2 linked regions of the Astyanax mexicanus genome follow. The protein of the gene in region 1 binds, or shares a complex with, the protein of each later gene. Links are inferred from orthologs where the notes say so. Each region holds a gene or a part of one and is shown in the gene's direction. Other genes may lie near its edges.

Region 1 (15,986 bases):
TTAGATTATTCTAAGCTGCCACAATTAACTTTGTTGGCAGATTTGCACAGATTTGTGTCCACAAACATTTGGGCATGTAGTGTATAGTAGTGTTTGCAAGTGCTGACCACTTCAAAAACTGGACGCAGGGATAAGGAACTCTGAAAAGTTTGGACTGAATTTCTGGATGGTTTTTACTGAGTGGGTGAAATCGGACCCCCCCCTTGCTCTCTGACTGAGAGCAGGCATGAAAGACATGCAGGTAAATGGACAGGTGAAATTTTCCATTACAGAAAATGAAAGAAAGCATGGGACAACTTTTGGACATGGTGCCTCTCCCTTATTTAATAATGCCTGAGGTAACACCTTATGATCAGTTTAGAGCAGAGAGGCCTATGCCAGTTTTAGATGAGTCTATGGTCAGTCATTGGTTTGATTAATCAAATTTACAATATCTTATTTCAAAAGGTGGGCTTGATTAGGTGATGCAAAGTGATACAAGTGATCTGTAATACACCACATTAGGCACTAATGGTCAAATTGAAATCATTTAATTAAGATATATATTTAATGCCATCTAGTGGCTTTTTTTGGTACCAGCAGTGTGCACTATTAAAACAGCAATGTGCAACATAAAATAAATAATAATAAAATACAGGAACATGGTCATGTACAAAATAATAGAACAATTAGAGCCTTAACAAACTGAACTGACTGAAAAGAACTGAACAAAAACCTATTATTAACTTTATCTGAGAGAAAGATGCTCCTTAAGGTACCAAAACTATTAACAATATATATATATATATATATATATATATATATATATATATATATATATATATATATATATATAACAAAACAGGGTTTTTTAAATAAGATTTGTGTGCACTTTTAAAGTTCTTAATGCCTTGTTTTAAATGTCAGAGCTCTCCAGATTCTACCACGGAGGTGTGGAGCTACTTTGAGCCTGAATAACGGTGTAAAGGGTGATTTATCGGGGCAAAATATGCCCCTAAACGGCTGTAGTAAAGAGTGCTGGGCAAAAAGAACAAAATAACTGGATCTCAGAAAGCTGCGGGAGAACGGAGGTGGGCTTTTCAAAAAAGATTAGGAATGTGAATAATGTATTATGTAAAAATACATTTAAAAACAGTTTTATTTACATTGTTTATAATGTAGTTGAACTGTCCAAATATTCTTTTAAAAAAATTGAATTATAATGCAGTTACACGGTATTATCATTACATTAGTGCCATGAATTTGTCTTAAAATTTTAATAATATTGCTTTACTGAGAAAAATATTCAGTGAAAGGTCTTTCTTGCACACCTGTGCTTGAAACCAAAGGAAAAAAATCATATGGACAAAATTAGAATGCTAGTATGAGCTTTCTGAGATGAGCTCAACTCACCTTAAGATGCGATGCTTTCTGAATGGAAATTACTATAAAAACACAACATCTGAGGGATTTCCACTCGGCTGACGAGTAACAGTGAGCAAGGAAAACACTCACACATACACACACTTGTTCTCCTCCACAATGATGCAGCAAGTCTTTTGCAGACATGAAGCGCATGAGAGAGTTTGGCTGTGTGGCATTCAGGCTTTTAATTAATTATCACTTAGCTGAGGGAGAAGCTGATGCATTACCCTCAGTACCTTCTACTGGCACGAGTCAATGGGAAGCAAGAGTCATTAGCAAACCTCAGAAGACTCACTCCATTACTCTCTTTCTCTCAATTTCTCCCTTTCTCTCTTTCATTTCTCCCAGCCTCTGTGTTTTTTCTCATCTGCTCTATAATAAGGACTTTTTCTATGCAACCATGCATCATCAAATGAATCATTTCCCAGAGCACATTAACCTGTCACTGGGTGCAGACTAAACAGCCTCGCACTGCACAGTATATCAGCCAGTGATCAGACGTCACTCGGAATATCAGCTCTTAGTGAAAAAGGCCTAAAATTAGACACAAAGTGTCATGTGCACTCACTGACAAAAACACAACGCATTCCAGGTTCCTGGAATACTATGAATGCAGTTTTGTCTCAGGCAGATACATAAATAATTACAGGTGTGGTCTGATTAGACACTGGGTTTTGCCAACATATACAAAGTGTCTATAAAAAGGCTCTCAGGGGCTACTTTTGGTTAGCGTACCTCTTGGTGAGAGATTGTTGCCTGCTAGACATGCTGAGTGACTTTCAGAGGGGGTGCATTATTGGATTGAGAGAACCACAATGTTTTTTTATGAATTTCCCACCATTTTGCCTGTCTTTGTTTTAGGTGGTGTCAAGAACAAGAAACCTGAACTGCTATAGACAGAAACCTTATTCAGGTTCTGGTTGGAATACAACGACAATTAAGTTCAACTAGGAAGGCCTCATAGTGAGCGTTTCAATTTTGCCTTTGCCGTGGATTAACATACTCCCCCAACTGCTGGTGTGATTAACTTATCCAATCACTTGCATAAGTCAACATTATTCAGAATCACACACAGAATGTTTCGTTTGATTCTAACAGTTATTTCCCAGTGCATTGTATTTTTTGTCCATGAGTGTGTGACACAGGGGGCTTCTCACTAGTGAGAGTGGTGGTGGGTGGGCATCCACACAGTACAACTCGCCAAAGTGCTGAACAAAGCCATTTGCTAGAGTGACCTTGTTCACTGGTTTAGAGTTATAACTGAGCTGAAAAACACAACACACAAAAAAGTCAGCACTCAGCGTTGCTATACATGCAAAGCATGTGAAATGATAATGATAAAAAATTAGGCCACATCCCATTGGTCTGTAATAACCAATGCTTATCACGACTAGAGGGAATGAGGCGGTGACAGCCTACATACTCGGACTAACAAACTAGGATCCATTACAATTGTCTCTTTGTGCTGGACACCTGCTGATAGTCCACCATGCCAGAACAGGACGGCCTTACTTGCTCACCATAGAGCTCTAGGAGGTCACAGTCAGGATTTTAATTTTCCAAGCATGGCAATGGTTCAAGGATGCTTGGGCATGAGTTAAAACTACAGAACCACAGAGTTTAGAGAATGTGTTTCGAGGGTGTAAATATAACACTCAATTCCAAAGCAGGTTTCTGAGTTTACTGAGTTGGTGAAATTAGATCCCTCTGTTGTGTAGTGATTGAGAGCAAACGTGGAAGCATGCAGGCACATGGATGGGTGCAAATTTTCCTCACAGAAAATAAAAGAAGAGGAGAGGAAGAGAAGTTTCTAGTGCCGTCCCTCTTCCTTATGTTATATGTCCACAAAAAAAAATATTTGGGGATAGAGAGGGTCATCCTAACCCCTGTGCTGCCTGGAAATCCTGGCCATTTATTTTAGCTGCATCAATAGGAACTAAACTGGCAACCTCATGATACTACGGCCAGTGCTTGGACAGTTGCGACATTTGGGAATGCAAAAACATATTATTAGTATTGACAATTAGCACTTCTTTGAAAATAATCTAAATGACATTCTTGGACGCTGCTGCCAGCTGACATACTACTGTTTACATTTAGATTTTGCAAATCAGTCAAACATTGCTATTCTTTATTGTAGACCAACTTTGATTTTGCGGTTGCATATTGGTGGTACTTTTAACTAGCTGTTTTTAATAGGATGCTACTAATTGGTGGAGTCTGTTGTTTGCTTTGAGGACCTTTACTGCATGTTTATCAGTGATATGTATTTAATATAGTATTAAATTATTGAATGAACTGTAGTCTATTATTTAACTAGCTGCTGTTTGTTTCAGGTCTGTTGGTCTGCCTTTGGGCCGCATACGGTAGGGTAATCAGGATTGTATGATTTTGTCATATTAGTAACCTGCAAAAACATAGATTTTTCACTCACTGAGCACTCGTATGAACTTCAAAACTTACAGGTAGCCTACAAACTGGATGTTTTGGGTTTTTTTGCATACTAAGAAATGTATTCCTACCTGTGCTAGTTTTCCTGGGTACCATAAAGAGATGGGCAATATGACAATATTCTGTCAAATTCACAAATTCAACACGTTTTTTTATTACGGTATCGACAATATGCTTTTAAAGCATATCGAGCATATCAGTAATTAAACGTGAGTTAAATGGCAGGTATTTGAAGTGCTTTGTATTTACCCCCTGGAAAAAATAAATAAATAAATAAAATAATAATAATAATAATATATATATATATATATATATATATATATATATATATATATATATATATATATATATATATATATATATATAATGTTTGTGTCTGGATATTGATTAACCAGTCAATATCTACCAGATATCCTGCAGTAGTACTGTCAAACTGAACAACGATTTTACTGTATTGTCAATCTCATGGAAAACAGAAACTGACATACTGTCTAAAAAACTATTATCAACCTATTGTACACAATATTAATATTTCAGACTGTGCAAAAATGTGCTCTTTAAAACGGTGCAAATTGCATTATTCTGCTATTGCATTACAATTATAGCAGTGTCCCAGAATGGCCTTAAAATGACAATAACATCCTTATATTATTACAAATATCATTTTTAAAGCTTGGACAATATATCGTCCATTAAAATTAGTTATCGTGACAGGCCTTTAGGGAGGTAAAAAGCGTGATAAACGGTTTTTCTTGCCACCCTCAGCTTCCACACACCACAAAGCGAGCTCTTTAGCGTGAGTCGCTTGCTGCTCCATTCAAGGGGCGCCAATCCCCATGCTCACGGTGGAAGCCAGTGCGCGTGCGCAAATGGCAACAGACACCCCACCATTAAATCCACGTAGCATTATATAATTATTCAACACGTTTCTGTGCCAGTCTGTGATATAATATCGTTATATCGTGCAAGAACGTTCATTAAGGACTTAATATGAATTTGCTACAGCCCTGGTGGTGGAAGAAGGTGGAGACAGAGGCTGAGCCCTGAGCCCTCAGCTCCTTCTCTCCACTGAGAAAACACAGTCAACACAAAGCAGCCAGCCTCCTGTCTGCTCAGTCAGACTCCGAGACAGTGACATTCAGAGAGAGAGAGACCCCCATGGTTGGTTATATGAGCTCGCTAGCACATGTGGGTTGTGCTGCTGCTGCTGCAGGGTTGCTGGGTTGGTTCTCTCACACAAAGCTGCAGCCTGTGGAGACTGTGTGGAGAGCCCGGTGTGGAGCAGCAGCAGCAGCAGCAGTGAAGGAGTGAGTGATAGAGGGAGAGAGATAGTAAAGATCCGGGGAGATGAGATGGGGATGTAATTGAATCTATTTAGCTGCTCGTGTTGAGCTCGGATCCTTTAAGTGAATGCCGTTTAGCGCCGGTTTAGAGAGACGCGCGTTCTGGGAGGAGAAGGAGGAGGAGAGCAGGTTCAGGTTTCATCACTAGCTTGCTTACCTGAGCTGCGCGCTGAATCACCGCCGGACTCGATGAGGATGTTGGGGTCACTTTGAGACCTGCCCCTGTGCAGGAGGCATTTCTCCGCTTCGTCCGAGCAAGCCATGGGTATGAAGAAGCCGAGGAGCGCAGGAATGATGAAGACGATGATGCTGGCCCGGGAGGCAGTCAAGGTCAGCGCACAGCCGACTGAGGGACGGACGTGATTCGGTCTGACAGCCGCTAAGAGCATCCAGCGAGCATGCCTGATTTAGAAGCCCAGTGTGCGTGTGCGCGCGTGTGCGCTCGTCTGCTTGTGTGGAGGATGCGCGCGCCTGTGGAGGGGAGGATGAGGGATGGAGGGAGGGAGGGTTTGTGTGTGTGATTGTGTGTGTAGGTATTGTGACTGTGTGTGTGTGTGTGAGTGTGTGTGCATGCCTCGTTTGACCGCACTGACGGACTCTGATTTGCTGGATGTATAAAGGAATGGCTGTGTGTGTGATTTTTTTCATGAGCCGTGTGTTTTTATATACGGGGCGTTTCAATACAACAGCATCCATTCAAAAGATATGCGCTCAGTTCAGACAGCGCTACAGCGCCCCCAGCGACCGCACGGTGACACTGCAGCCAGAGGGCTGATTAGTGTTACTCAGACAGGCTGCGGTTAGTGATGCTGCTTAAAGATGTTCAAATACAAATACAATCTCACTGATTTGTGTGAAGATGTGACTGCGTGATTTTTAAGTTTACGGTGATAAGGTATATGAGCTCGTAAGACTGGCTTGGCATGTTTTGCACGTCTTAAAGAGGCACTAAACCCTAAACCATTTTTTTTTCATTAACAGCTGAAATGTGTTCCTCTGAAGTAATAATACATACTAGCCCTGCTTAAAAATGTATAAACATTTCTTAACCTTTAAAAAAAATGTTTTTATTGCGACCATTTCCATTTCTGCAACGCCCTCACAGGTTAAATTGTGCTATAGGCGAGAAAAATGTGTTTTGATATGCAATCAGTCAATAATACCGCCCCCTCAGCTGAATCAGCTCTCCCTTCTGCCCCACCCCTAAACCCATACATCACCCAGTGCCCCACCCAAATAACATCTTTAATTTTTTTTTCTTTTAAGCATTTTTTACATTTGAGCTAAGGGTGCAGTCAGCAAAAATCATGGGGTTTAGTGCCCATTTAAAGATAACATTTTCCATATTCCCCCCCTAAGGTCCACAACCATAGTAATTTTTATACACTGGCCTTAATAAATGGTTTTAGTCACATAAGTTTTGTGCTCACACTGTTAACCATAAAAAAATCAGTTGCATAGTTTATCTATTTATATAGTTTGAATGTAATCTATGTCTATGTAATATATCTATATGTATAATATATGTCATTTTAACAAATAAATAAATATTTTATGTCTGCATCAATGTTCTTGCTATCTCTTATCTCTGTTATAAAACCTCATAAAATCAGCAAACAATTCTTATGAAAACATTTTACCTGCACCCAGTGATGTTAGTTGCATTGGCAGGAAGCATGTAGAAGGCACAAAGGTAATGAGTACGACTCTGATATCTCTGGTTATGGTCCAAAACCAGACGAACACTCTGGGGGAAAAAAAGCAGAGTAGACATTACATGTGCTTATTTGGTGATATGTTTTGAGCACACACACCCAAAAGTGTCAAAAGTATACACATTCATTACTCAGGTAGAAGTATAGATACAAGGTTTAAAAATGTTAAGTAGAAGTTGAAAGGTCAGTTCAAGCGTTTTACTCAAGTAGTGTAAAAGTACTGGTTTCAAAACAATTTAAAGAATAAAAGTAAAAGTAATGTAAGGGGAAAATGCCATTAAGGACATCAAAGGCTTATGCTGCACCAGAGGAGTCTACAGTGCATTACCCTCCTCCAAAACACATTTTTCTAAAATACATAATGACTATAATTTTATGTTGAAAGGTTAATGTTGAAAAAATGAAGATGCACTAGGCTCCCTGTTTCAGCTGCACATATGCCCATTGAAAATTAATGCATTTTAGTACAGTGTAAATATATTAAAGAAGCATAATTGGGACATTTCGCTCCATTTTCTTGAGGCACGAATCATCTTCATACTAGATTATATACATCTGCTATGTTTATGCTGGAGTATAGGCGTGACATTTGCAGAGGGGATGAATTGTGTATAAACCAGTAGGGAGTCGGAATGGTATATGTTTATACTTCTCATGCAACCACAAGCTGCAAACTTCTCATGCAAACACAAGCTGAAATGAAATAGGAGTAACAAGGCTATTTTTAAAATGTAAGAAGAAGAAAGTTCAGATAATTATGTGAAAATGTAAGTAGTATAAGTAAAAAGTTGCCTGAAAAATAGTTAGTATTAGTAATTAAAGTATAGATAACCACACTATCTACTTAAGCAAGGTAACAAAGTATTTGTACTTCATTACACTCCTGTGTGCGGCACCCAAGCAAGGAAAATTTACATTTTGAAACTTAGGCCCAATCCCATTTCTCTTTGATTGTTATCCTTTCCCTTGGGACAAAGTTACTTAGGGAAAAGTTAAATTCAGCCCTTCAGGCACCTGATACAGATATATAGCAGTGGACTGCTAAGGTTCAGCATCCCAACTGCTGGTTAGTTAACTTTAGGGCACTGTATGTCTTCTGCACAGCTCTGTAAAACTTAAAATCCTTAATTTTGACACCACAGTGTACGAGCTGTTTGCGACAGTGTGGGCGGAAGTACACCTTGGCATTACCTACCCGATCTGTGCCCCTGCTCATCTCGCTCAGTTTGCAGTGCGCATGCGTGCGCATGCGCGGCACAAATCGGGCAGGGGGTACAGATCGGGGAGTGACAGTCAACTCTCTCGCGTCGCTCAAACCGCCCGCTTCGCATCGCGTCGCTGCTTGTCGCCCAGTGTCGCTCGCTCTCATTGAAAATGAATGACTTCCGGCTGCTTTGTCGCTCGCATCGCGTTCGGTGTGGACGAACGGTAATGTGAACGTAGCCTGAAAAATCTCAGTCTAAAAAAAGCCACCCCTTCCTCTTCTCTTTCCCTTTAATTTCCCTTAACTTTCCTCTTCCCAGGGCCAAGGTCTGATATGGGATTGGGCCAAACTCTCTGTGCATGTCTGAAAGGGTTAAATGTCATTGCTCTGCGCAAAGCGTGCGCAGTGTTGATGGTGGTACTCGTACAGATACTGCGCTCCCATTGGTCATTGAGGAGGTTGTCGTTAGGAGGCGGAGCTGAGGAGTGAGGGTGGTTACTGTAGTGGTGAAAATGGCAGCGCTGTGTGTTTTAATATTGAGTGCTTTAATATTGTCGTGTAATTGTGATAGTGTGGAAAAACCGAACGATGTCACGGGACCCGTCAGCAGTTCTGAACCCGGGCAGAGCGAGTCTGCAGCGGTGAGCTCCGGCGGCCCCGTGGCCGCTCCGGTCAGTGAGGCAGATGAGCCGGCTGAAGCGGCGGCTGGAGGAGCGGTCAGCCCGCCGGACCAGTGCGACGAGGAGCTGGTGCTCAGACCTCTGCGCTCCGGGGATATATACGCCAGCTTCCAGTTCAGAACACAGTGGGATACAGACTTCCTGCACCACGGGAAAAAAGGTTGTATAATGTTATAGCTAAGCTGTGCGCCTTTAATTTGATTTAGCGAGCTGCTTCCTGCCTAGCTGCAGGCTAGCTAGCTGTTTGGGCTGTGTCCCAATATCTGAATGAATGAGCCTACCTTCCTTTGCTTGGTTTAGTTAGCTTAGTGTTTGTCTAGCCGGGTCCTGTGGGCATATGTCAGTTCATTTTCTGCTTTAATAGACCCAGGGTAATTTCAGAATGGGCTGTTAATGAGCTAAAATTGTAGATTAGATGTGTTGGGAGCAGGGAAAACACTAATTAGCTAAAAAAAAGTGGGCATCCAGTTTAAAGAAGCTAAGTGTTAGCTAACGTTAACTCTACGTGGTTTATTAGCATCTGAGAAGTCCACGGCCTGTTTAAACACACTAGCTAAATAGCCAACCTAGGTTAACTAACATCCCAAAAACTCTTAATCTAGTGTTTAGATTTACCATCTAGTATATAATTTGTCCACAATATGTTCCAGTACACATGTCTGCTTGCACAGTACTGTATAGCTCAGAAAGTTAGCAGAAGAGAAGACATTGTGTTATTGGGATCCAGCCCAGTCTGTGCTGTAGTTATGTATTTTAGTGAATATAACCTATAGTACAAAAAAGTTAGGACACACTTCGTCTTATTTAATGTATTGTCTGTTTTTATTGCAAATGTAATACTTAATAATTATTTTTTTTAAATAAGTGTTAATAAAACATAATATGAAAAAGAGATTCTTCTAAGAACCACATGTAGCTTTGAGGACAGATCTGCACACTTGGTATTTTAATCTCAGTGGCTTCATGAGGTAGAGTCACCTGAAATAGTTTTCTCAGTGTCTTGAAGGAGTTGCTGTAGGTGCTGAACAATAGTTGCTGCTTTTCGTTCAGGCTGTGCAGCTCCAGATCAGGGGATTTGGTTTAGATCAGGGGATTGTGGAGACCAAACACTTTTTTGTTTACTACATAATTCCATATGTCTTTCCATTTATGCTCTAAAGACTAATGGTTGTTTCGTCTTGTGTTCTTTCCTTCACCCACAGTGTCCCATTACCGACTCTTTCCAAAGTCTCTAGGCCAAGTGCTGTCCAAGTTTTCTGTGCGGGAGCTGCATATCTCCTTCACCCAGGGCTACTGGAGGACAATGCAGTGGGGGCAGCCCTTCATCCCCTCTCCTCCTGGGGCTGAGCTCTGGGTGTGGTTCCACAACACTGTGGAAGAGTAAGTAACAGTGTGCCTGTATACAGCTAAATAGTCATATTGCTGTGATTTTCAGCTACTTCTGGCTACTGGATTTGCACAGATCTCCCCATCAAGTCACCCTTCCTAAAGAAACAAATTAGGAGACCAATCACTGGTTGAAATATGAATGGAACAGAGCAGGGTCAATGCTATGGTCTTGCTCACAGCCTAACCAGGAAAATGATTGGCCCTTGTTGTTTAGGAGACTTTATGATTCAATTTAAATTAGATGCAACGGTGAGTGTTTTGAGAACTCTGTCATATTTAAATCAATGACCATTTGCTGGTATGTACTGATACCACTTCAAGCACTAGTAGCTACAACTTAATGTATTTTACTTACATTTAAATTATTTATGAATAATCTCAACATCTTCCTTTAAAATCTAAACATTTATTTATTGTTTATAAATATCTCAGGGAATCTATGTAAGCAGACAAACTACTTTTATTTTTCTGTCCTTTTTATTAATTTATTGTTTTTTTTTTCATTGAAAAGCTCAACTGTTGATAAGACTTTAAAAAATATGTTTACTTATAACGCTCAAAAAAGATGATTACTACAGTAATTGCAGGCTTTTAGTAAATCACTTTGGGATACAGCATACATTTTTTTTTTTAAATTGCATTGTTTTTAGAACATAGGAGCATTTTCACCCCTGCTCTATTTCCAGTAAATTAGTTTTTACCCTTTTTACACATGATCCAAATTGTTTGTGCAGGTGTGAATACAGTAATCACACTCAAATGAAACCCTTAAGAGGAGACGGTTCTGTACAGTGTACAGTACAAATGTACACTGCAATAGTTTGTTTGTGGTGAAAATGTGATCTGACCTTGATCTTACACACCTATGGGGCATACTCTGAATATATACTCTTTTTATATAAATTAGCCCCATATTCAGTTTAATCTGGTATATTATCCAGATAATTATTACAGCTGTGCGTAAATAACCCTACTCCTCCTGCTCCATGTGAAACTTCACAGAAACATGCACTATAAATATTCACAGGATCTTTTTCCTGTATTTACTCAAACTCCAGACAGATCGGAGCAATAAATAAAGAGAATGTTCTCATGTGGTTTGTTGACACATTTTGGCGTGTGTGCAATGAGTTTCAAGTATGCAAACTCATTAGCAGATTCAGAAACCTACTATAGCAGTGAAAATTCCTTAAGTCACTAAACAAACAAACTGAATTGATCCTCTGTTTGTATTACAGTGTGGATGGAAACTGGAAGGAGCTTGTCAACGTTCTGTCAGGCATCTTCTGCGCATCTCTAAATTTCATCGATTCAACAAACACAGTGCAGCCAAGTGCTTCCTTTAAACCCCTGGGACTTGGAAATGGTATTATTGAGTCTTTTAGCTATTTTATTGCTTCACTTATTTGCTATATCAATTTCACAGACTTTGTGTTCTCCCTCATGCAGTTACTGATCATCGTTTCCTGCGTTATGCCACATTGCCGCGCGAAATCGTCTGTACTGAGAATTTGACTCCTTGGAAGAAGCTCCTCCCCTGTGGCTCCAAGGTGCTGAACATTGCATTTGGTCTACTCTGATGCACAAGGTCTATTGATCTGAGTTTGTCAAGATAATCAAGCTAATGCTCTGTGGATCTTTCTAGGCTGGTCTAGCAGTGCTGCTGAAGTCTGAGAAGCTCTTCCATAGCAGTTTTCACTCTCAGGCTGTGCATATCAGACCTGTTTGTAAGGTGAGGTCCTATGAGTTTCCCGTATTGGTCACATGGTGGAGAAGGAACAAAAACAACGATTTCACACTCTCTTTAAAGAATCAAAAATTGTAACAGCTTTGTGTATAAGAAGTTTTTTTTAGGTTTGTACTTTGAATAACTGTAACCAAAATTGAAGTCTTAAGTCAAGTTTTGCACACAATAATGTATCATTTGTGTACGACATTTAAATTCTTGCTTCTTCATAGCTTTTTTTTTTCCCACCACATGGTACCTACACTATTCAACTCTAATGTACCATATGTGCCTAATGAAAATACAAAAAGCACTATAAAACTGTCATAACGTGCATCTTTAAGTAAAACGCACAAAGAAACAAACTGGCTGTAGTAATAACTAAGGCTTCATGGAATGCTTCAAGCAGAATGAGTTTGCTGATGTATTTACTGTAATATTTCATTGCTAACCACAAAATAACTAAATAAAACATCTCTAAAATGTTACCTTTACAAGACAGAACATTCTAAAACCTTTAATATAAACATTTTTTATTGAAATAGTTATGGAACATTTTCTGATATTATTTTATTCTCTTGATGCGTCATTAGGATTGGCAGTGTACAAGCACAGCATGGGAACTAAGACAGACTCTCAATGTAGTGTTTGACATCTACACCTCTGGCCAGGGCAAAAAAGGTTAGTGACACTTAATAAACTATGCAATAAAATGTACACAATCTCTGTATTACAGTTTGTCTGTTTAAACATATTTTCTTTTTTTTACAGAGTGGTCCCTTTTCAAGATGTTCTCTCGCACTTTAACGGAGGCTTGCCCTTTAGCATCTTCAAGCAAGGTTTACGTAGACGTCACAGACAACCCGGAGGTAAAGTATGAAGCCCTTTGGGAAAAGTTCAGAAGAGCTGAAGAATGTGCTGTTTCAATATGTGGTAGAGCAGGGATGTTCAGTCCTGTTACTGGAGGATGTTTTTTCTATTGTAACACAAGCTGAGTTAAAGATGATGTGTTGGAGTAAAATTTAGATTCGAGGCTGAAATGTACAAGTAACTGTACTTCAGGAACACAGTTGGACACCCCTGGTCTACAGGATGTTCATGTTTGCTTTGACATCAGTTGACATTATGCTTTTTTGCCCAACAGGGGGAGCTATTTGACTTGAGCCCAGTCACCCCTCTCCTCAGCACAGCTGTGGTTCTTGGTGATCGCAGGACTTACTCTGTATATGATCTGACCAAAAAAGAGACTTTTGGCCAGCTGCGCTCACTCAATCTTGTCCTGCGCTGGAAAGGGGAAAGTGGTAAGCACAGATATGAGGAGGATTTTCTCCTAAAATGAATCCCACAGCTTTCCTCACAGTTTTTGGCATTGGTTGTTAAAAGACCAGATCATAAAAATACTGTTTTAAAGTCCAGAAAATAGATTTTGCTCACTTATTATATTCACTACACATTTTTGTCCACCACATGGTACCTACACTATTCAACTCTAGTGGACTTAGTTTCAGGTACTAGGTACTAGATGTGCCTAATGAAAAGGCAAAAAGCACTATAAAAGTGTCATAACAAACTAATATGAGCTACTTTTTATGAATCTGACCATGTATCTTTAAGTAAAACACAAAAAAACAAACAAACTGGCTGTAGTATTAACTAAGGCTTCATGGAATGCTAACTTAATCTTGTCCTGCGCTGAAATTTGATGTAGATTTGAAGATTTTCTCCTAAAATGTATTCCACAGCCTTCTGATTTTGGCATTGGTTGTTAAAAGACCAAATCTTAAAAATACTGTTTTAAAGTCCAGAAAATATATTTTTTCTCATTAATTATTATATTCGCTATACATTTTTGTCTTCAGTATTTAGTATGTACTGCTTCGGATCAATTTAAAAGCATTTAAGGTCAACACTTCATAATGTTGATGATCCCCTTTATCTATTTAGTATGCAAGTACATCTAGGTTCTGTTAGTATAGGTTCACTCAGGTGCCCTGTTTCATATTGCCGTTAGTTTGAAGCAGTTTGGTGTCAAAGCAGCCAAACATGAAAAATTAAGGGTGTTTTTACACCTGCACTTTTTAAATTATTGTATCTTTGGCACTATAAGGTGGACAAGGCGCACTATGAATGAACGTCTAGTTTCTGGTCTATATTATTATATATTATTATATTATTATATATATCTGGATTGTAAGGCCATTTTAAGAGACATTACAAGGAACTTCTAATTCAGCAGGTCTCGCCGCTAGGAGGTGGTGGTGGTGGTGGTGGTGGTGGAGGGGGGGGGGGCGGTAGCTAACTAAGTTAAGTAAAGCTAAGCTAAGTAAACTAAACTGTAATAAAAAATACTTTCTTTTAAAGTCAAACGGCTGTTAATCTACACAGATTTCTATCCTGACAACTGTTTATTTGGGTGAGTAAAGCGTTTTTTTTTTTTTTTTTTTAAACAGTGGCCTTAGATTTTCCGTATTTCTCCAGCACTAAGAGTGGAGCATTAGCAGCTAATCGCTGCCGATTAGCATCTAATTTATCTGCCTGTTTGTCCCATGTAGCTTGTTTTAACACGGTAAACGTGCAGACTACAGTCCGATATACTCGCCTCTGAACGGCAAGAGAGTCAGTGTGGTTAGCGGCTAATGCTGCTCCAGCAGTGCTAGCTGGGGGTTAGCAGCAGGCTACAGGCTCACCTCTGAACGGGGAAATAGCGATTAGCGGCTAATGCTAATGCTACTCCTGCCCCGGTGCTGGAGAGCTAAACTGAAACTCCTGTATAACACTGTATTTCTGTGGAGTGGCTTTACTGCTCTATACAACCTGACTGGTAAAATTCATACATAAGGCGCACTGGATTAAAAGGCGCACTGACGATTTTTGGGAAAATTAAAGAATTTTAGGTACGTCTTATTGTGCGAAAAATACAGTAATTGGTTATGTTGGACTCAGGTTTGTTTTTACTTTTAGTGCATGAACTGACCTTGATCTGATTCTACTGTTTGGTGAACTCCACAGGGTTTAGCTGAGCAATGTATTTTTTTTTTGGTTTATTACCCAGGTAATTACTACAGCTGAGAACAAAAGTACTCAATTGTACAGGAATATGAATTAGTTGAGAAAACAGGACCTTCTTCCTGTATTTACTTTTTTGCCACCTACACAGCTATGTCTTGACAAAAATGTGGAGAGAACATTCTCACAGTATATAGTAACTCATCTTGGTTGAATTTTTCCTATGTGTAAAAACAAACAATTAAAAAAAAAAAAATTATTATTAACAACTGTTCTCTGTTATAGGTGACATGTTGCGACCTCTGCTCCATGCAGAGCGCTATGTGGCAGGCTTTGGACTTCAGACAGGGGAAATCCATACCCTGATCTACAATAACCATCCATACCGAGCATTCCCCGTACTCCTGCTGGACTCAGTGCCCTGGTACTTGCGGTTGTACATCCACACACTGACTGTCACAAGCAAGACACGTGAGAACAAGCCAAGTACGTTTAAGTCCAAATTATTGAAAATAGAATAATGTATTTAGGTCAAAGTAAATTATAAAGCATCTATTCAAGTAGTGAACGTAAGAAAAAATCAGTTACCGTATTTTTCACACAATAAGGCACGCTTAAAATCCTTAAATTTTCCCCCAAATAGTCCGTGCGCTTTGTAATCCAGCGCCCTTTATAAAAGAGTTTTACCAGTCAGGTTGTAATGAGCAGTAAAGCCACTTTAAAGCCAGTTTACTTCTATAGTTAATTCTCCAGAACCAAGACTTAAGACTGTAGCAATATTAGCATTAGCTGTTAACACGCTAAGCACTAGGTTTTTTGCCGTTTAGAGAGTATTATCGGCCTGTAGCCTGCTCCTAGCAATAGCATTATCCGCTAATTGTGCTAAGCACTAGTTGGCTCTTTTGCCGTTTAGAGGCTAGTATACAGGACTGTAGCCTTCCCGTTTACCATGTTAAAACAAGCTATGTGGGACAAACCGCTAGCTAATATCGCCCTAGCTTACTGGAACACTCCGGGTTGCTCAGTGTAGCGCTGTCTGGCTAGCCTTAGTGGAAATCTGGAAATCTA
Region 2 (16,514 bases), on another chromosome or scaffold:
AAATACTTTTTATACTTTTTCACAGAACTGTAAACTCACAACTACAGTAAACACACCTTTATCTAAACTACTACAGTGATTTTGAGACAGTGTACCGTTTGCTCATTAGAGTGATGTTTAACAATCAAAGGTGAGACAGTTCTGTGAAGCTGTGGGACTGTGAGTAAACTCTGAAAGCGAGTCGATGGTGTTGATTTTGTTTCTCTCAGTAAGAAGGAGGATCCGGTTTCTCTGCCAGGAGCTGATTGATTTGACTGGAGCTGATCCACCGCGTTCATTTCAGGAGTTCATTAACTTAACTTCCACTTTTATCCCTCAAAATCTCGCTCTCGCTGCCAGAGTGCGCTCTGACGCTCTCGCACAAACTCACTGTTACTGTAGAGACGGAGAGTGACGCACCGCATATCTAAAACATATCTGTTTTACAGTACTTAACTTTTTATTAATTCACAAAACTAAAATAATCTCCTAATCAATCAGAAACGACCTGGTGATTTCTGGGAATTATTAAAACTATTATATCTGTTAATGTTAATAAGATTACTTCTGTATTTATAGTTTAGCTGCTGAAGCAGTTATATGCTTTTATATTTACTTTCTAAATTTTATGATATCAGTTTAAAGAAAGAAAAAACGCATAACACTAACCAAATCTAATGTAAAACAACAGACCAGAACATTTTAAGTAAATAATACTACTAAAATGTCAACCTGTAACTGGTAGATTTTTTGATTGCTAAAATTTTCAACACATTTTTTTAAGTTAGAATAGTAGATTGCTAATTAATTAGCAAGTAGTAGATTCATATTCATAAAGTTTTAAGAGTTCAGAAATAATCAATATTTGGTGGAATAATCCTGTTTTTTAATCACAGTTTTATTTTCATGCATCTTGGCATCATGTTCTCCTCCACCAGTCTTACACACTGCTTTTGGATAACTTTATGCTGCTTTACTCCTGGTGTAAAAATTCAAGCAGTTCAGTTTGGTGGTTTGATGGTTTGTGATCATCCATCTTCCTCTTGATTATATTCCAGAGGTTTTTAATTTGGTAAAATCAAAGAAACTCATCATTTTTAAGTGCTCTCTTATTTTTATTTTTTTCCAGAGCTGTATATTAGTAGGTTTTGTTCTATTTCTCAGCTCCTGGCCGGGTGTTTAGTAGTTTAGAGCTGATATTCTTGCTGTTCTCTTCAGGATGTGTTTATCGAGGCTTCAGTCGTTGTTTCAGTGCAGGAGAAGCTCTTCTGCTGGAGGAGGGTTTAACTCCAGCCCCTCGTTCTCCTGCTGCAGTACATTTCTAATAACTCAGATTCTCTGTTCATCACATTACAGCTTCAGACTGTCAGACTGTCAGTTTATCAACCTGACTCCAGAGTTTTCATTTGGAATTAAGAAATCGCTGAGGCTAAAAGAGCGAAACTCTGACACTATCAAAGTCTTTCCCCGAGTCGACTGTAGGGAAGCGTTAAGCTTCTCCTGCTGGAGTAATAAAATCATTTCATTTCTACTGGAGACTCCGTCTGCATTAATGAGCCCAGATAAAGCTTTATATTCTACAGAACTGAACCAGAACTGAACCCGAGCTCTCAGGTCACCATCACCTCCATCCCCTTTACCTGAGATCAGGACCTCGGCTGCTGTGAGGGCAATCATTCACAGAGTTTCTACTGAAATCAAAAAGCATCATGAATTCTGAAGGATAGAGCTGTTTCTTATCTCCATTAGCACAAAAACAGTCTCTACACTTTCCCTTTCATAAAGCCATCATTAGCTCCTGAAACATTGCTGTGTGGAGGATTTGATTTGATTGCATTCAGTCTTCAGGACCATTAGTTTTACCACTCCAATCTTCATCATCACTCCAGTTCCACAGCATGATGGACGTTTTTATATTTCTTAGGAAAATACTGAACCAGTTCTCATTCAATGTTTTATTTTTTATCCTACATTAATAAATGAATAGTAAAATGATCTATCAGATTATGAAGGAACACATAATGAATCATGTAGTAACTTAAAAACAGTGTTAAACAAACCAAAATACACTGTGAAGTATTTAGATACTCTTATCTGAGGAGCTGTTTGTTAACTTGTGGTTTCTGAGGCTGAAAACTCTGATGACTTATTCTGTACAACAGAGGAAACTCTCGCTCTTCTATCCTTTCCTGAGCTGGCCCTGATGAATGCCAGTTTCATCATTATAATGTTTTTCATAGTGTTTTGTGTTAAATACTTTCAAAGTTCTTAAAACTCTTATTTTCCGGATTGACTGATCTTCATTTCTTCTTAAAGTATTTTTTTCTATTTTCTATAAACTACAGACATTTCTCCCAAATTCCAAATAAAAATATTGTTATTTATTATAGTATTTGAGTATTTATTTGCAAAAAATGAGAAATGACTGAAATAACAAAAAAGATGCAGAGCTTTCAGACCTCAAATAATGCAAAGAAAACAAGTTCATATTCATAAAGTTTTAAGAGTTCAGAAATAATCAATATTTGGTGGAATAATCCTGGTTGGTTTTTAATCACAGTTTATTTTTTTATGCATCTTGGCATCATGTTCTCCTCCACCAGTCTTACACACTGCTTTTGGATAACTTTATGCTGCTTTACTCCTGGTGCAAAAATTCAAGCAGTTCAGTTTGGTGGTTTGATGGTTTGTGATCATCCATCTTCCTCTTGATTATATTCCAGAGGTTTTCAATTTGGTAAAATCAAAGAAACTCATCATTTTAAGTGCTCTCTTATTTGTTTCCAGAGCTGTATATATGTATATATATATTGTATATACTGTAGTTTACTGAACTCCAGCAGAAGGGAATCGGGGGATCTTGCTGTTAGTTAAGGACAGAACTGGAGCTAAAAACAGAAAGAGTCTTCCTGCCAGGCCTGAAGCGAGCAGCCCACCTCAGGAGGTAGGAGTTAAGTGTAATCTCACTCAGCACGGCCTCCAGAGCTTTGCAGAAAATCATTCACATTAAGACTGACATTTCCTCTGTGACACTCGCCTCCCACTGTAAACTCTGAGGAACTTTCTCTTTTTTCTGCTGCTGGTGGAGAGCTGAGAGCGGGGTGTAATTTTAGTCACAGAGCTGCAGCGGTACAGTTCAGAACATTTGTAGTTTTTAATGCTGAGAGGAAGTCGAGCATCGAGGAGTGAGTACAGTAATGCAGTTTTAGTAGTTTAGTAGTTTAGCGACTCGGTTCTGATACATCAGCTCACAGATGCAGCCTTGTGCTGATTCACATCACCCTAGGAGTGATGAGGAGAAAGAGAGAGTGCCATCTACTGTACTGTACCCACCCAGAGAGAGCGAGAACAAAACTGTGCTCTCTCAGGGCTCTGGCAGCTGAGGGCAATTCGATCAGGATTCGAACAAACAATCTCCTGATCATAATGTAACCAAGATAAACAAGATAAAACTCCAGAAATGTACCTGAACACACCTCATTTCCAGAACACCACGCCCATCAGTGTAGATATATTCAGAAGATCTGCTGCTGTTTAAACCAGACAGGAGGAAGGAGGGAAAATAGACTGTTGACGGGGTGTAAGATAGCAATAGGCATAATGATACGCCTTACGCAGTTGCAACATGGACTGTTTATATTTGTCAAGCATTTATTATAAAAACCTGATACTTAAGCAAATGTGTCCAAACTTCTGACTGCTAATGTTGTTTATTCGTCATGTTCATTCATTTAAATCATTTCATTTCATTTTTAAACACTGTGAACATGCACTGAAGAATCAGCAGGGCTGAAACAACCTGTTTAAACAGTCGATCAAATATAATCAGAACAATACTGTCATAATAAAAGTCCTGATGATCTGATATGATACTGGATCTGCAGCATCAGGCAGGAAGTGGACAGTCCGTAAATTTAACAAGAAACAAACATGTAATGGAAAGCAGACGAGGTCAGAACATCTCCAGAACATCAGACAGGTCCTGTGGAGTTTTCCCAGAATGCACTGCTCAGTACCGACCGGATGGAGGCGTTTGATCCTTTTGGACTTTATATCACTTACAGATCTTAAACAACCTAAACAACACTCAGCAGGTGGTTATAATATTATGGCTGATTGGCTGAACTGAAAACTGGGCTGTGAGTTCATTTGGTGAGAAATCATATTAAATCCAGTCAATATGTTCAACATATATATCATAAAATAACATGAAGATACTTTTACTTATTTCTAGTTATTAAATGACCTATTTCTACTCATATCTACATTAATTATCTTATTCTATTCTATAAAAGTCTCTTGACTTGTTTAAGACACAATGCTGCTACAAATGCTGAAAAAAACAGAATAAGATAAATTTCACTGAATACAAACGTTTAAAACTAGTAGAAATAAGTTAAATAATTATAAAAAGAAATTGATATTGATATTTACACTAAATTTAAGATGTTTTCACTCACCAGCGTATCGTTCCTCCCAGCTAAAGCTTTGAATCTGAACGTTTTAATGAGATAAATCTACATCTGGAGCTAGTTTTAACTTCAGAAATGCTACTTTTATTTCTATTTAATCAGAGAAATCTGGTCTGATCACCTGAAACCACCTCTGATCAGATTTCTCCTCTAATCTTCAAACAGAGTCACTACTGAGAGTATAAAGTTCCACCTTGCCATCTACTGGTGAAAAGGTGTCATATCACACTCTGAACACTGGAGTTCACCACGGGTCCTCGGGCTGAAGGTTCAGGAGGAAGCGGAGGTTCTGCTCGGCGTCTTTTGGTTCAGCAGTTTCAGTCCTGAAGGTTCTAAAGGTTCTAAACCGGAGTTCTAGTGTTTATTAAGGCAATAAGAGTCAGTTTCCGCGCGGATCTTCTCTCACATCAAAGATCCATCAGCATCCGGGCTTTCAGGTGTTTGATTTTGAGGGAGTAATATTCCTCCTGTAGCTGGAGAACCCGTTCCTGACGCCGCAGAACCGCCATCTCCAGATCCGTCTTCTCGCCGGAGGCGGAGGCGGAGGGGGAGGGGGAGGGGGAGCGAGGAGGACTCACAGGAGGAATCTCGTGTCTGACGATATCGTGGTTTATATGATTGACAGGAAGCTCGATGTTCATGATTGGAGGAACCGGAGAGGGGATGTACTTCACCTCCACCTGATCCTCCTCGAAGATCACGCTGCTCTCCTCCTCTAATCTAAAAACACACAGACAGACAGACAGACAGACAGACAGACAGACAGACTAAATTCATTAAACAGAAATGATAAAACGAAATAAAATATTTTAAAGTAAAAAAGTTTTAAAATGGAAACAAAACGTAAAAAAGTAAAAATAAATCTCTTTAGATAAAGAAATAAATGCGTGTAAATATGATAATGAAAGTTTACCTGTCTTTAAGCTCCGCCTCCTTTCTCTGTATTTTGAGAATATCCAGCACGACCTTGGTAACGGGGCTGACGTGATCTGCAGTCAATAATCAATAATAAACTGATTAATAAACAGGATAATCAGATAATCAGGTGGAGGGGGATGGGCTTAGCTCACCTGTGGGTGACGGATGGGTTAGCATAGCCTCTTTAGCTTTAGCGAGCTCCACGAACCAGTGCCTCTCGCACTCTTTCCCGGTGCGCGGGACGTCCGGGTGGGCGGTGGAGATCTCCTCGGCGATCTCGTCCCACGCCCACCGCCGGTTGGTGGCGATCTCGCGGCAGGAGTGCCGGCCGGTCAGCAGGTCCATCCGCCGGGCCTTCACCAGCTGCACCAGCAGCAGCTTCTGCTCCGTCGACCAGTTCGGCTTCCGCGGCCTCATCGGAGCTTCGTACAGATCAACTACAGGACCGGGAAAAAACACTGATCAATACATAAATACACTAATCAATACATAAATACACTAATCAATACATAAATAAAACACTGATCAATACATAAATGCACTAATCAATACATAAATACACTAATCAATAACTGCACTTTAACCCTGCCTACTCAATCTACAGCTGATCAGCCACACCCATTCACATGAAAGTAATTACAGGACTTTAACTCGGCCACTCCAAAGTCTTCACTCGGTTTTGCCTCAGCCAATCAGAGCTGAACCTGCTGGAGAGTTTTGGGTCATTGTCCTGCTGCAGAACCCAAGTTCACTTCAGCTTGAGGTCAAGAACAGATGGACGGAGATTCTTATTCAGGTTCCATTTATCACAGCAAGTCTCCCAGGTCCTGACACAGCAAAGCAGCTCCAGATCATCACACTACCACCCCCATGTTTTACTGTAGTATGATGCTCTTTTTCTGAAAGGTTACTTTTACACCAGATGTAACAGAACAATGTTCTTTTTGCTCAGCAGTGGGTTTTATCTTGTATCTACAATACAGCAATTTTACAGGACAGAAATGAAACCTTCATCACTTTCAATGGGAGTCAATGTAAAAAAGGTGCATTCAACAAAAATTGTGATACATTGTAAGGTTTGTGTGAAAAAATTATGTAGTAAACTAAAAAAAAGAAAAAACATGCATTTACTAAAAAAACATGGAAACACCAATACAAAAAGTGCACTACATCATGCAACATTTGAGCCATAAAAGGATTTTAAAAGGATTTAAAACTTAATATCTAAGCAGAATAAGCCTCCTGCTTAACTAAAAATCTCATTTTACCCATATTCTCATTAAATCAGAAACATTATATATTACCATAAACAACTATGCGATATATGCATGAGATTCGCCTGTTTATCCTCACTTTTTAAATAATATAGGACATTTTTTTAAATATGGAACACATATCTCATCCCTGGCCCTTATATTAAATTTAAAAACTGCATATTTGTAACAGATCAGCTCTTTAATCAGATTAAAAACACAAAATCACAAAAACACAACTCTAGCTCTAAAACAGAGCTTAGCTGCTTTACTATTCTAACTAAAAATACATAATTTTAGCAGCAGAACAGACAGACAGACTCCCAGCAGCCTCTGCTCTTTTATTATCAGTCTGTTTTTATATATAAACACACAGGCGCTCCTGTGGCCTAATAGAAAACAGCAGCTCTGTTTTTATCATTCTGCACTAAAAACTGGAAATAAAGCCTAAAATCAGTATTAAAATAAAAATGCATGCAAAATTTGAGCCATAAAATGATTTAATACTCTGTATCTTATACGAATTAGGCCGCTGATCCTCCTGTTTAATTATCTCGGGATAAAACGCGGCGCTGTTTACGGTAAGAATCACTCCTAGCAGACTAAAATCAATACTAGGCTAACATCAGTTTTTGGTGGTGTAAAAAAGCGCGCTCACCTCCTAATCGGTTTCGGTTGAGCTTTAATTTCAGTGAAGACATAAAGATCGCTAAATGATTATTTTATCGCGGTGATTAATGTTTTTTAGGAGGTTGAATCCACGCGACAAAAGCCGAGGGTGAAGTTGGCTTCTTGTCCGCCAGCTTCTTAATCGAACTCTCCAGTCCACCTTAAATTCTGCAGCTTTTCCATTCTAACCGCTGCGGGTACATTAGAACTGCTGCGCGCGTTCTGAACGGAACTGCTGGGATTTTTAAGGTGGAACGGGGAGTTCGGTTAAAGAAGCTGGCGAATAAAGAAGCCGACTCCGGCGTCGTCACGGGAAGTAAGGGGGGTGATTTTTAAAAGCGTTTTTTTAGGAGTTGTAGTTTCCTACGGGTTCACCCGAACCAGGGAGCCTTTGCAAAACCGCTACTCTAAAAACTACACCTCCCACAATGCACCCCGCGCCGTGAGGGCGGCTAGCGCGTCTCCTCAGTGAAGATGGCCGCTCCCTTAACGCTTGTTCTGGTTCTGGCGGTGACGGTTCGGGCGGTTTTATTCCGCTCCAGCCTGGCGGAGCTGATCTCGGAGCGGGTGGAGGTCGTGTCGCCGCTCAGCGCGTGGAAGAGAGGTGGGCTGCGGGGCGCTGCGGGGCTCGGGGCCGCAGCGGTGCGGGGATATTGTGGATGTAGCTAATGTTGCTAATGCAGCTCTAATGGATCAGGAGTAGAGGTGGAGAACCCAGGTCCAGAAAGTAAAACTCCATCCCAGGGTTTTATACCAACTGCCTGAGCGGCTCCCGCAGCAGAGGCGACCTGGCAGTGGGTACAAAACCCGGGGCTGGATTTTTACTTTCTGGACCTGGGTTCCCCACCTCCTGTCAGGAGCGAGGCTAAGCTAACTAGCTGCTATCAGTTAACTACTAGTGTTATTACAATTAATAAACAATGTTTTATCATTCAGTGATAGGAATAGTGCATATTTAAACACATATAAAATGACAACAGTTTATATATATAGCTATAGCTTTAAATTAGCTAATCTAATGTTATACATACATAAAGCTCTGTAAAAAATGAAGAGAGCACTTCCGTTTCTGAATCAGTTTCTCTGATTTTGCTATTTATAGGTTTATGTTTGAGTAAAATGAACATTGTTGTTTTATTCAATAAACTACAGACAACATTTCTCCCAAATTACAAATAAAAATATTCTCATTTAGAGCATTTATTTACAGAAAATGAGAAATGACTGAAATAACAAAAAAGATGCAGAGCTTTCAGACCTCAAATAATGCAAAGAAAACAAGTTCATATTTGGTGGAATAATCCTGATGGTTTTTAATCACAGTTTTTTTCATGCACCTTGGCATCATGTTCTCCTCCACCAGTCTTACACACTGCTTTTGGATAACTTTATGCTGCTTTACTCCTGGTGCATCTTCCTCTTGATTATATTCTAGAGGTTTTCAATTTGGTAACATCAAAGAAACTCATCGTTTTAAAGTGCTCTCTTATTTTTATTTTATATATATACAATCACAGCATCACATTATTTTGATCATTTTCTATTTTAGTTTATTCTTCTTATCATGTCACAGCATTTTATTATACTCTTATCTAATATAAACCCTTACACACAACTGGAATTATACCCTGTGCTGGTCAGGAGCAAATCTAGTCAATCAGTTTGATCTAAACAGTAAAAGAATATGAATACTGAGTTCTGCAGATCTCCAGTATTAAAACAGTGTGTGTGTGTGTGTGTGTGTGTGTTCCTCAGTGGTGGAAGGCCTGGCGCTGCTGGACCTCGGAGTCTCGCCGTACTCAGGAGACGTGTTTCATGAAGTGAGTTCTGTAGTTTCAGAGACGTGTGATCTGATTTATTAAATCACTGCTTACTGCAGATATTAGAGATTAGTGTGTGTCTGTGTTTCTCCCTTGTTTTAGACGCCCCTCATCATATACCTCTTTCATTTTGTTGTGGACTATGCAGAGATTGTGTTTATGGTGAGTATTTGAAGTCTTATATTGATTACGTCTCATTCTCTTTATATCCCTGTCTGTGTTTATAGTAAATATGTATAATTTTCAATTTATTGTAAATCTTCTGCAAGAAAGTGAAATAAATCCCATCCCTGTCACACTCTTCTCTTTTCCTCTATCCTCCATATTATACTAGCTGTGCTTGTGTGTATAGGTATGAATACAATGGGCTCAATTTTAGTCATCCATAGTCCAACCGTGTACCATGCAGCTTGATGTAGGGCGTGGTGTCAGTGTGTCTTTGCTATCGTAACAACGGGAAAAGTACACCTTGCTCAAGTTGAAACACACAAAAGGCTGTACTAATTCTCTTAATTAATCATGGGTGTGAGTTTATTATAATTTTGGGCGTAACGTGAAATAATAAACCAATCAGAGCGTCTCTTCTTCATCATTCTCTTTAAGAGTAGATCAGGTGAGCTCTGTCTTTGGTGGATTGCTATTGTAACGGTGCAGCTACCTGGACGTGTTCAACAAACTCTTCTCAGCAGAGTAAAACTGAGCTGCTGGTTGACGCTGTGAAGGAGCTCCAGCAGCTCATTTACGGGAACAGCAATGTTATTTTATTTACTATTCTGTTTATTGTTGATGTAAAAGTTGGGTTTGTGCTGCTGTGTGAAAATTTGGTAAAATTAGAAGAAGAAAACAGAATTAAAGTTGATGTTTTCCTGATTGGGAGTCCCTGATGTAAAGCGAGTTTCAGCGCGACCTTGCGTGTGTGTTTCTATGTTGTGTGTGTATGTAACACACTCGCGTTCCCATGAGAGAGAGTCCTGCTGTAGCGCGAGAGCAGTGTTGGCTGTAACAGACAGATGATGAAGAGGAAGAGAGAGTATCTGAATCAGGCGTGATCTGGTCTGAGTCACAGCTCTGTGTTAATCCTCTCTCTCTGCAGATAGCAGATGGAATCACGGCGGTGGCGCTGTATCTGGCTGTTCAGAACTACAACAGGAATGTGGTGAGTAAGAGGAGGACTCGTCTTCATCAGTGAGACACTGTTCAGTTTTACATTTACACTGTTTATATCAGTCCTCACTGTACATCCTCACACAGATCAGAGCGGAGTTCATCTCTCTGTACTGCAGAAACTCTCTCTGCAGTCCTCAATATCATGCCTCATCTCCTCACACCTCTAACGAGCATAATAAATATACAGATGTTCATATACTTTAGGTGGTCTAGAATTATGAATTAAATTTGTCTCAGTGTTCAGCATGTTACTGTGATTTAGACTGATCTGTTCTATTAATGAAGTGTATCTGCTGATTAAACAGGTAATTGAAGGTAATCTGTCTTTACTGAGGGGTGAATTTAACCTGCTTGTGTTTTATTGTAGTTTAGGAAACAGAAATACGCTCTGGAGGCCAACAGATACCCACCCGACTGTCTGGAGCTCATGCGCTCCCCTAAAGAGATGTTCTACATCCCTCTCAAAGTGGCGACGTTGTGAGTTGTGACTTCTCTCAAGCACTGTAAACTCTGGGTTCATCAGCCAATAAACTCGCAGAATAAGACGTAGAATTAGCATAATTTAAAATCTAAACTTCATGCAGTAGCGTTAAACACATTCAGCTACAACATGAACATCAGCTATTAGATTATTTAAGTCCTGCAGTTTAATATCTGGCATGATATAAATAAATGCATCTGCATGGAATTAGTTAGATAACTGCCGTATTTTTCGGAATATAAGGTGCACTATATGTGAACGTCTATCAGCTCGAATTTCTGCCCACATGGCTTATTTTAACACGAGCCCTCAGACTTCTACAAATGAAGTTTGGAGCTACTTTGAGTTTGAGTTTATGGTGTAAAAATAGTGATTTCCTTATATGGGTAACTCTATGCTCCTATCACTAACATTATAAACCTGTTTGGAGATTCAGCTAAAAGTGCTGTATTTGGGGATACTGGGGAAACTTAAGATTAAAGATAGATCTCCTTTAAACCTGAGTCAGGTTGTAGATATCAGTACTGTATTCTGTCCTCTTCAGTAATATCTCTCTTTCTGCTCTACAGTTACCTGTTGAATCCGTTTACGATTCTGTCCTGTGTGGCGAAGTCGACCTGTGGGCTGAATAATGCAGTTATAGCTCTCTTCATCCTCTCTACTATAAAAGGTGAGTAATACACACCTGCTTATCTTCTCAGTGTTTATTTCCACACCTGTAGCTGTAGGATTTTTTACTGTGGGTTTTATATTAGTTAGTTAGTATATTACTATAGTTAGTATATTAGTAGTATATTATATTAGTATGTTAGTGCTGGATTCTGTATGAGTACAGGTGATTTATATCAGATTTAGATCAGTCTGTATGGAGCAGGTAGTGTATAGCTGTGCTGTAACACAGATATTTGTGTTTGATCAGTGTTTGCTGTGTTTTAGGGAGTGCGCTGCTGAGTGCAATTTTCTTGGCCTTGGCGACGTATCAGAGCGTCTACCCCCTCACCCTCTTCGCCCCCGCCCTCCTCTTCCTCTTACAGGTGAGCAGCAGCTGTATCACTCACCTGTAGCACCAGATCTACAGTACAGTGATGATCAGCTCACACTTCCTCAAACTCAACACAGCCTTTAGAAATAATACAGCAAATATCAATCCACTTTTACACTGTACTTGATGAAAATTAACAATAATAATAAATAGCAATTGTTCACATTATTGTTTATGTTGATGATTTGTGTGAAGAGCCTCTCTCTCTCTGTCTCTCTCTCTCTTTGTCTCTCTCTGTCTCTCTCTGTCTCTCTCTCTCTCTCTCTGTCTCTCTCTGTCTCTCTCTCTCTCTCTGTCTCTGTCTCTCTCTCTCTCTCTCTCTCTCTCAGAGGCTGTATATCCCGGTGAATCCCTGCAGGAGCAGTTTCTGGTTGTTTACTCTGCAGTACGGCTTCATGTTTGTGGGAAGTCTGCTGGTCATCATCTGCCTCTCCTTCTTTCTGCTCGGCTCCTGGGATTTCATCCCCTCTGTTTATGGATTCATGTACGTTTTCCTGTGATTCTGGTAAAACAGCAGAACGGAACACGTTTATATCTGTAGTGAACGCTGAACTGAACCAGTGTTGCGTACACACTTTTCATTTTGCGCTCTTATTTACCTGTCCCTATATTTCATTGTTCTATTCTTTCTATTGTTTAACTGTGTGTGTGTGTGTGTGTGTGTGCGCTCCACAGTCTCTCAGTACCGGATCTCACTCCGAACATCGGGCTGTTCTGGTATTTTTTTGCTGAGATGTTCGAACACTTCCGTTTCTTCTTCATCTGCGTTTTCCAGATCAACGTCTTCTTCTACACCATCCCTCTCTCCATCAAACTGAAGTAAGTCTGTATTAGTAAATACTGTTAAAGAATTAATAAGGATTTAGATTTTTGTAGAAACTCATTCAATCATTAGGATGTATCATCAGATATTACGGAAACATGTCTAATGACTGACAGCAGAGCTTCAGGCAGTATTTTCTAACTAGAACTTTGCCCATCTTCATTCCCCAAGTCCCACTTCCATACCCCATATCTAGAGAGTTTATCAATAGGGGCTGGGTTATGAAATTTGATACCTAAAGGCACCGACTGAAATGTCTCAGTACTACAAAGAACCAAAAGGTCAAAAAAAAAAAACAATTGGTGCTTATTTTCAATATTTCAACTACTTTTACTCTTTTTCTGTTTCTGATTGGTGATTGTAAATATGTGATCACGATGAACAGCGGTTTATCTGATCTCAGATCTGTATCTGTATCTGTGTGTGTGTGTGTGTGTGTGTGTGTGTGTGTGTGTGTGTGTGTGTGTTTGTGTGTGTGTTTGTGTGTGTGTGTGTGTGTGTGTGTGTGTGTGTGTGTGTGTGTGTGTGTGTGCGCGCTGCAGGGAGCACCCGGTGTTCCTCATCTTCATGCAGATCGCCATCATCTCCATCTTTAAATCCTACCCCACTGTGGGAGACATCGCCCTGTACATGGCCTTCCTCCCGGCGTGGAGTCATCTCTACAGATGTGAGGAGCTAAACTATGATGATTCCTAAAATTTGCTAATTGATCTGCATTATTTTATGATATGAGCTGCATTACCTGCTCTATTTAATAAAATAAGCAAAATAGATGTGAAGTAAGAGGACGTATCTTAATTCTGCTGTTACCTTTTTTTAAGTAGAATAATCTAATAATGTGACCGAATGAGAAATATAAATTTTATCTGTAAGATGATCTGTGTATTAGGATATCGGGAGATAATATAGATAATGTAGTCATTATTTATTGGAATTATCTCAGTTATGAGCTGAAATTGCTTTAGTAAGTATAAATATAAAATAAATCAGTAGATTTTCTGTGTGGATTTTGTATTTGTGTCTGTGTTTAATTGGAGCTGTGTTTCTCCTGCAGTTTTGAGGAATATATTTCTGGTGTCGTGTGTGCTGTTGGCGTGCTCGGCTCTGTTTCCTGTTCTCTGGCATCTGTGGATCTACGCCGGCAGCGCCAACTCCAACTTTTACTACGCCATCACGCTGCTGTTCAACGTGGGACAGGTATCTACTCGCTGCTCTCTCCCTCATCACTTTAATATACAGAAAACCCAACAAATATCATCTAAATATCATATAAAAATCATATAAATATCATATAAAAATCATATATCACATGCAGGTAACAGATATTTTAAAGTATCTGATTCAGGATCAGGGGTTTAAGGGCTAAAACACTGTAAATGAAATAAAGGAGAATCTTTAACATATAATCACCCCAAATATAATCATTTACACTCAAATCAGACACAGATTATTCTTTACAGGGAACAGGTGTGTTACTTTCATTTTAAACATGTTTTCAGCAGATAAAACTGATGCAAAATACTTGAGAAACAGACGTGTTGACGGTGCTGAGTGACCCGGTTACTCCACAGATCTGCAGTGTGTTTATTTCCCTTCTCTCGTCTCTGACATCACTTCCTCTCCTCCTCATTTACCTGCTCAACAGGAAGTGGTTTATTGAGTGAGAGTAAAGCACAGACATCAGAGCTCCTCACACAACAGAATATCAGTCTACAGCTGTAGTGAAGCTCTGTAGTGAAGCTCTGTAGTGAAGCTCTGTGGTGAAGCTCTGTAGTGAAGCTCTGTGGTGAAGCTCTGTGGTGAAGCTCTGTAGTGAAGCTCTGTAGTGAAGCTCTGTGGTGAGGTGCTGGGCTGTAGTGAAGCTCTGTAGTGAAGGTCTGTGGTGAGGTGCTGGGCTGTAGTGAAGCTCTGTGGTGAGGTGCTGCTCTGTAGTGAAGCTCTGTAGTGAAGCTCTGTAGTGAAGCTCTGTGGTGAGGTGCTGGGCTGTAGTGAAGCTCTGTAGTGAAGCTCTGTAGTGAAGCTCTGTGGTGAGGTGCTGGGCTGTAGTGAAGCTCTGTGGTGAAGCTCTGTGGTGAGGCGCTGGGCTGTAGTGAAGCTCTGTAGTGAGGTTTATGGGCTGTAGTGAAGCTCTGTAGTGAAGCTCTGTAGTGAAGCTCTGTGGTGAGGTGCTGGGCTGTAGTGAAGCTCTGTGGTGAGGTGCTGGGCTGTAGTGAAGCTCTGTGGTGAGGTGCTGGGCTGTAGTGAAGCTCTGTAGTGAAGCTCTGTGGTGAGGTGCTGGGCTGTAGTGAAGCTCTGTAGTGAAGCTCTGTAGTGAAGCTCTGTAGTGAAGCTCTGTATTGAGGTGCTGGGCTGGTGTAGAGGAGAGAGAGGTAGGTCAGTAGGTCGGTGTGTTGGTGGAAAACAGTGACACCAGAGCTGCAGTTTATTATTTATGAGCTTGTATTGGGTTCACCAGTAAGATCAGGTCAGTAGTGAGATCATCACACTGTTCTCCTCTGTGTCTCAGTGCAGCTCTGCAGCACCACCGGAGAGTGTGAGCAGTGTAGGGAGAGTGTGTGTGTGTGTGTGAGGGAGTATCAGTGGTGTGTAGAGAACACCTGATAGTGCTGTTAAATTTTGCAGTGTTTCTGTAGTGTAGTAATGTTTCACAGTTGATTAACACTGTGCTCTGCAGCTTCTAGCAGCGAACAATATTATATATTATTATTATTATTATATCAGTATAGATTTTCAGCTGTGCTATGAAATGACAGTATATAAAAGTGTGTGTGTATTGTGTGTGTGTGTGTGTGTGTTAGATCCTCCTTGTTTCAGATTATTTCTATGCGTACCTGCGGCGGGAGCATCACCTGACTCAGGGTCTGTATCTGAGGAGGAAGGACGGGAGCGAGGCCACGCTGGTGTTAAAATGACCTTCAGCACCTGGATCAATCCTCCTCTCCTCCTTCTTCTCCCTCGTTCACTAACCCCTTTTACCTTTTCTTCACCCTCCCTCTGCCCCCCGTTCTCCTCTATCCGTCTTTATTCCTTCTCTCTTCTCTCCTCCCTCCGGCGGAGAGGCGGCTCCCTCTCTCTGAGGGACGAGTTCAGAGCTGGAGATGATCTGAGACAAACTCTGAGTCTCTGAGGAACAATACAACGCCTTTCTCCATCCGCTGTAGTTTAGAGGAGGAGGAGGAGGAAGAGGAAGTGGGTGAACTGTTTACAGTGCAGATGAACAGATTGTCTTTTTTAAGCTTTTTTTTTTTGCAGGAATGAAAAATACTAAAAATAATAAAGTGTGTCTTTTTGACCTGAGGCGCAGTTCCACGCTCGACCAGCAGGTGGCGCTCAGTGAATGTACAATACAGTGAACTCTCTGATGCAGACAGCCTGCTGATAGGAGGAGGAGTCTGCACGTGACCGTCTGTCTGGTCATGTGAAGGTCACGGAGTTTAATGCTTTAAAATCACTTTTATTTTATTTTATTTTTTGGTCACCAAAAGTTTGAACGGTTTATTCTTTTTTTGTTGTTAATTTTGTTTATCAGGAATGTGAACGGCCTAAATCTGCCTCTTTTTGTTCCTGTCGTCCAGTTTAAAATGCACTGTATTTTTTTATTTATTGATTAATTGATATATTATGCACTAATATGATTTGTTGTAACTGGAAAAGAGGAGATTTATAAATCTGAATGAGTTTTTATACAGTTTTTGATCTGCAGTTTTAAGACGGTACAGTGTGTTAAATACATTAGTTAAATATGTTAAAGTGCTATAAATCAGTATTCACGATCAAAATCACGCTGAGGAGATCAGGTGTGAGTGTGTGAGTGTGTGAGTGTGTGAGTGTGTGAGTGTGTGAGTGAGGGTTATTGACTGGCCAGGTGTTTGGGCTAATTTTAAAGTGCA

Evidence for each region.
Region 2: the proteins of pigt (region 1) and pigu are in contact, whole or in part, in a cryo-EM structure (PDB 8IMX), measured with the Homo sapiens proteins. The link is inferred for Astyanax mexicanus from reciprocal best matches to the Homo sapiens genes PIGT and PIGU. Residues at the interface, in NP_057021.2 of Homo sapiens: Tyr361, Gly362, Leu363, Gln364, Lys365, Arg394, Leu395, Tyr396, Val397, His398, Tyr416, Pro418, Ala419, Gln420, Asp421, Arg422, Gln445, Glu447, Leu450, Leu451, Lys452, Trp453, Thr454, Pro518, Thr519, Pro520, Asp521, Phe522, Ser523, Met524; in NP_536724.1 of Homo sapiens: Glu30, Lys42, Arg43, Val45, Glu46, Ser49, Leu50, Leu53, Val55, Ser59, Gly60, Ala61, Val62, Pro265, Asp266, Leu267, Pro269, Leu273, Trp275, Tyr276, Phe277, Phe278, Ala279, Glu280, Met281, Phe282, Glu283, Phe289, Phe293, Asn296.

What each region holds. Positions count from the first base shown.
Region 1 is NC_064420.1:28,984,012-28,999,997, forward strand, and holds the start of pigt (GPI transamidase component PIG-T), read left to right. Parts: upstream 1-8,187; 5' UTR 8,188-8,629; coding exon 8,630-8,957; intron 8,958-9,999; coding exon 10,000-10,177; intron 10,178-11,424; coding exon 11,425-11,552; intron 11,553-11,635; coding exon 11,636-11,736; intron 11,737-11,831; coding exon 11,832-11,918; intron 11,919-12,505; coding exon 12,506-12,593; intron 12,594-12,683; coding exon 12,684-12,781; intron 12,782-13,056; coding exon 13,057-13,213; intron 13,214-15,203; coding exon 15,204-15,404; intron 15,405-15,986. Other genes in the region: phactr3a (phosphatase and actin regulator 3a), read right to left, coding at 5,356-5,587. UniProt on the Homo sapiens protein: Component of the glycosylphosphatidylinositol-anchor (GPI-anchor) transamidase (GPI-T) complex that catalyzes the formation of the linkage between a proprotein and a GPI-anchor and participates in GPI anchored protein biosynthesis.
Region 2 is NC_064412.1:58,070,101-58,086,614, forward strand, and holds the start of pigu (phosphatidylinositol glycan anchor biosynthesis class U protein), read left to right. Parts: upstream 1-7,742; 5' UTR 7,743-7,765; coding exon 7,766-7,895; intron 7,896-9,046; coding exon 9,047-9,111; intron 9,112-9,213; coding exon 9,214-9,273; intron 9,274-10,204; coding exon 10,205-10,267; intron 10,268-10,645; coding exon 10,646-10,755; intron 10,756-11,328; coding exon 11,329-11,429; intron 11,430-11,695; coding exon 11,696-11,793; intron 11,794-12,130; coding exon 12,131-12,285; intron 12,286-12,476; coding exon 12,477-12,620; intron 12,621-13,166; coding exon 13,167-13,291; intron 13,292-13,678; coding exon 13,679-13,821; intron 13,822-15,422; coding exon 15,423-15,536; 3' UTR 15,537-16,514. Other genes in the region: uncharacterized protein si:dkey-6e2.2, read right to left, coding at 4,859-5,171, 5,365-5,440, 5,522-5,806, 7,281-7,323. UniProt on the Homo sapiens protein: Component of the glycosylphosphatidylinositol-anchor (GPI-anchor) transamidase (GPI-T) complex that catalyzes the formation of the linkage between a proprotein and a GPI-anchor and participates in GPI anchored protein biosynthesis.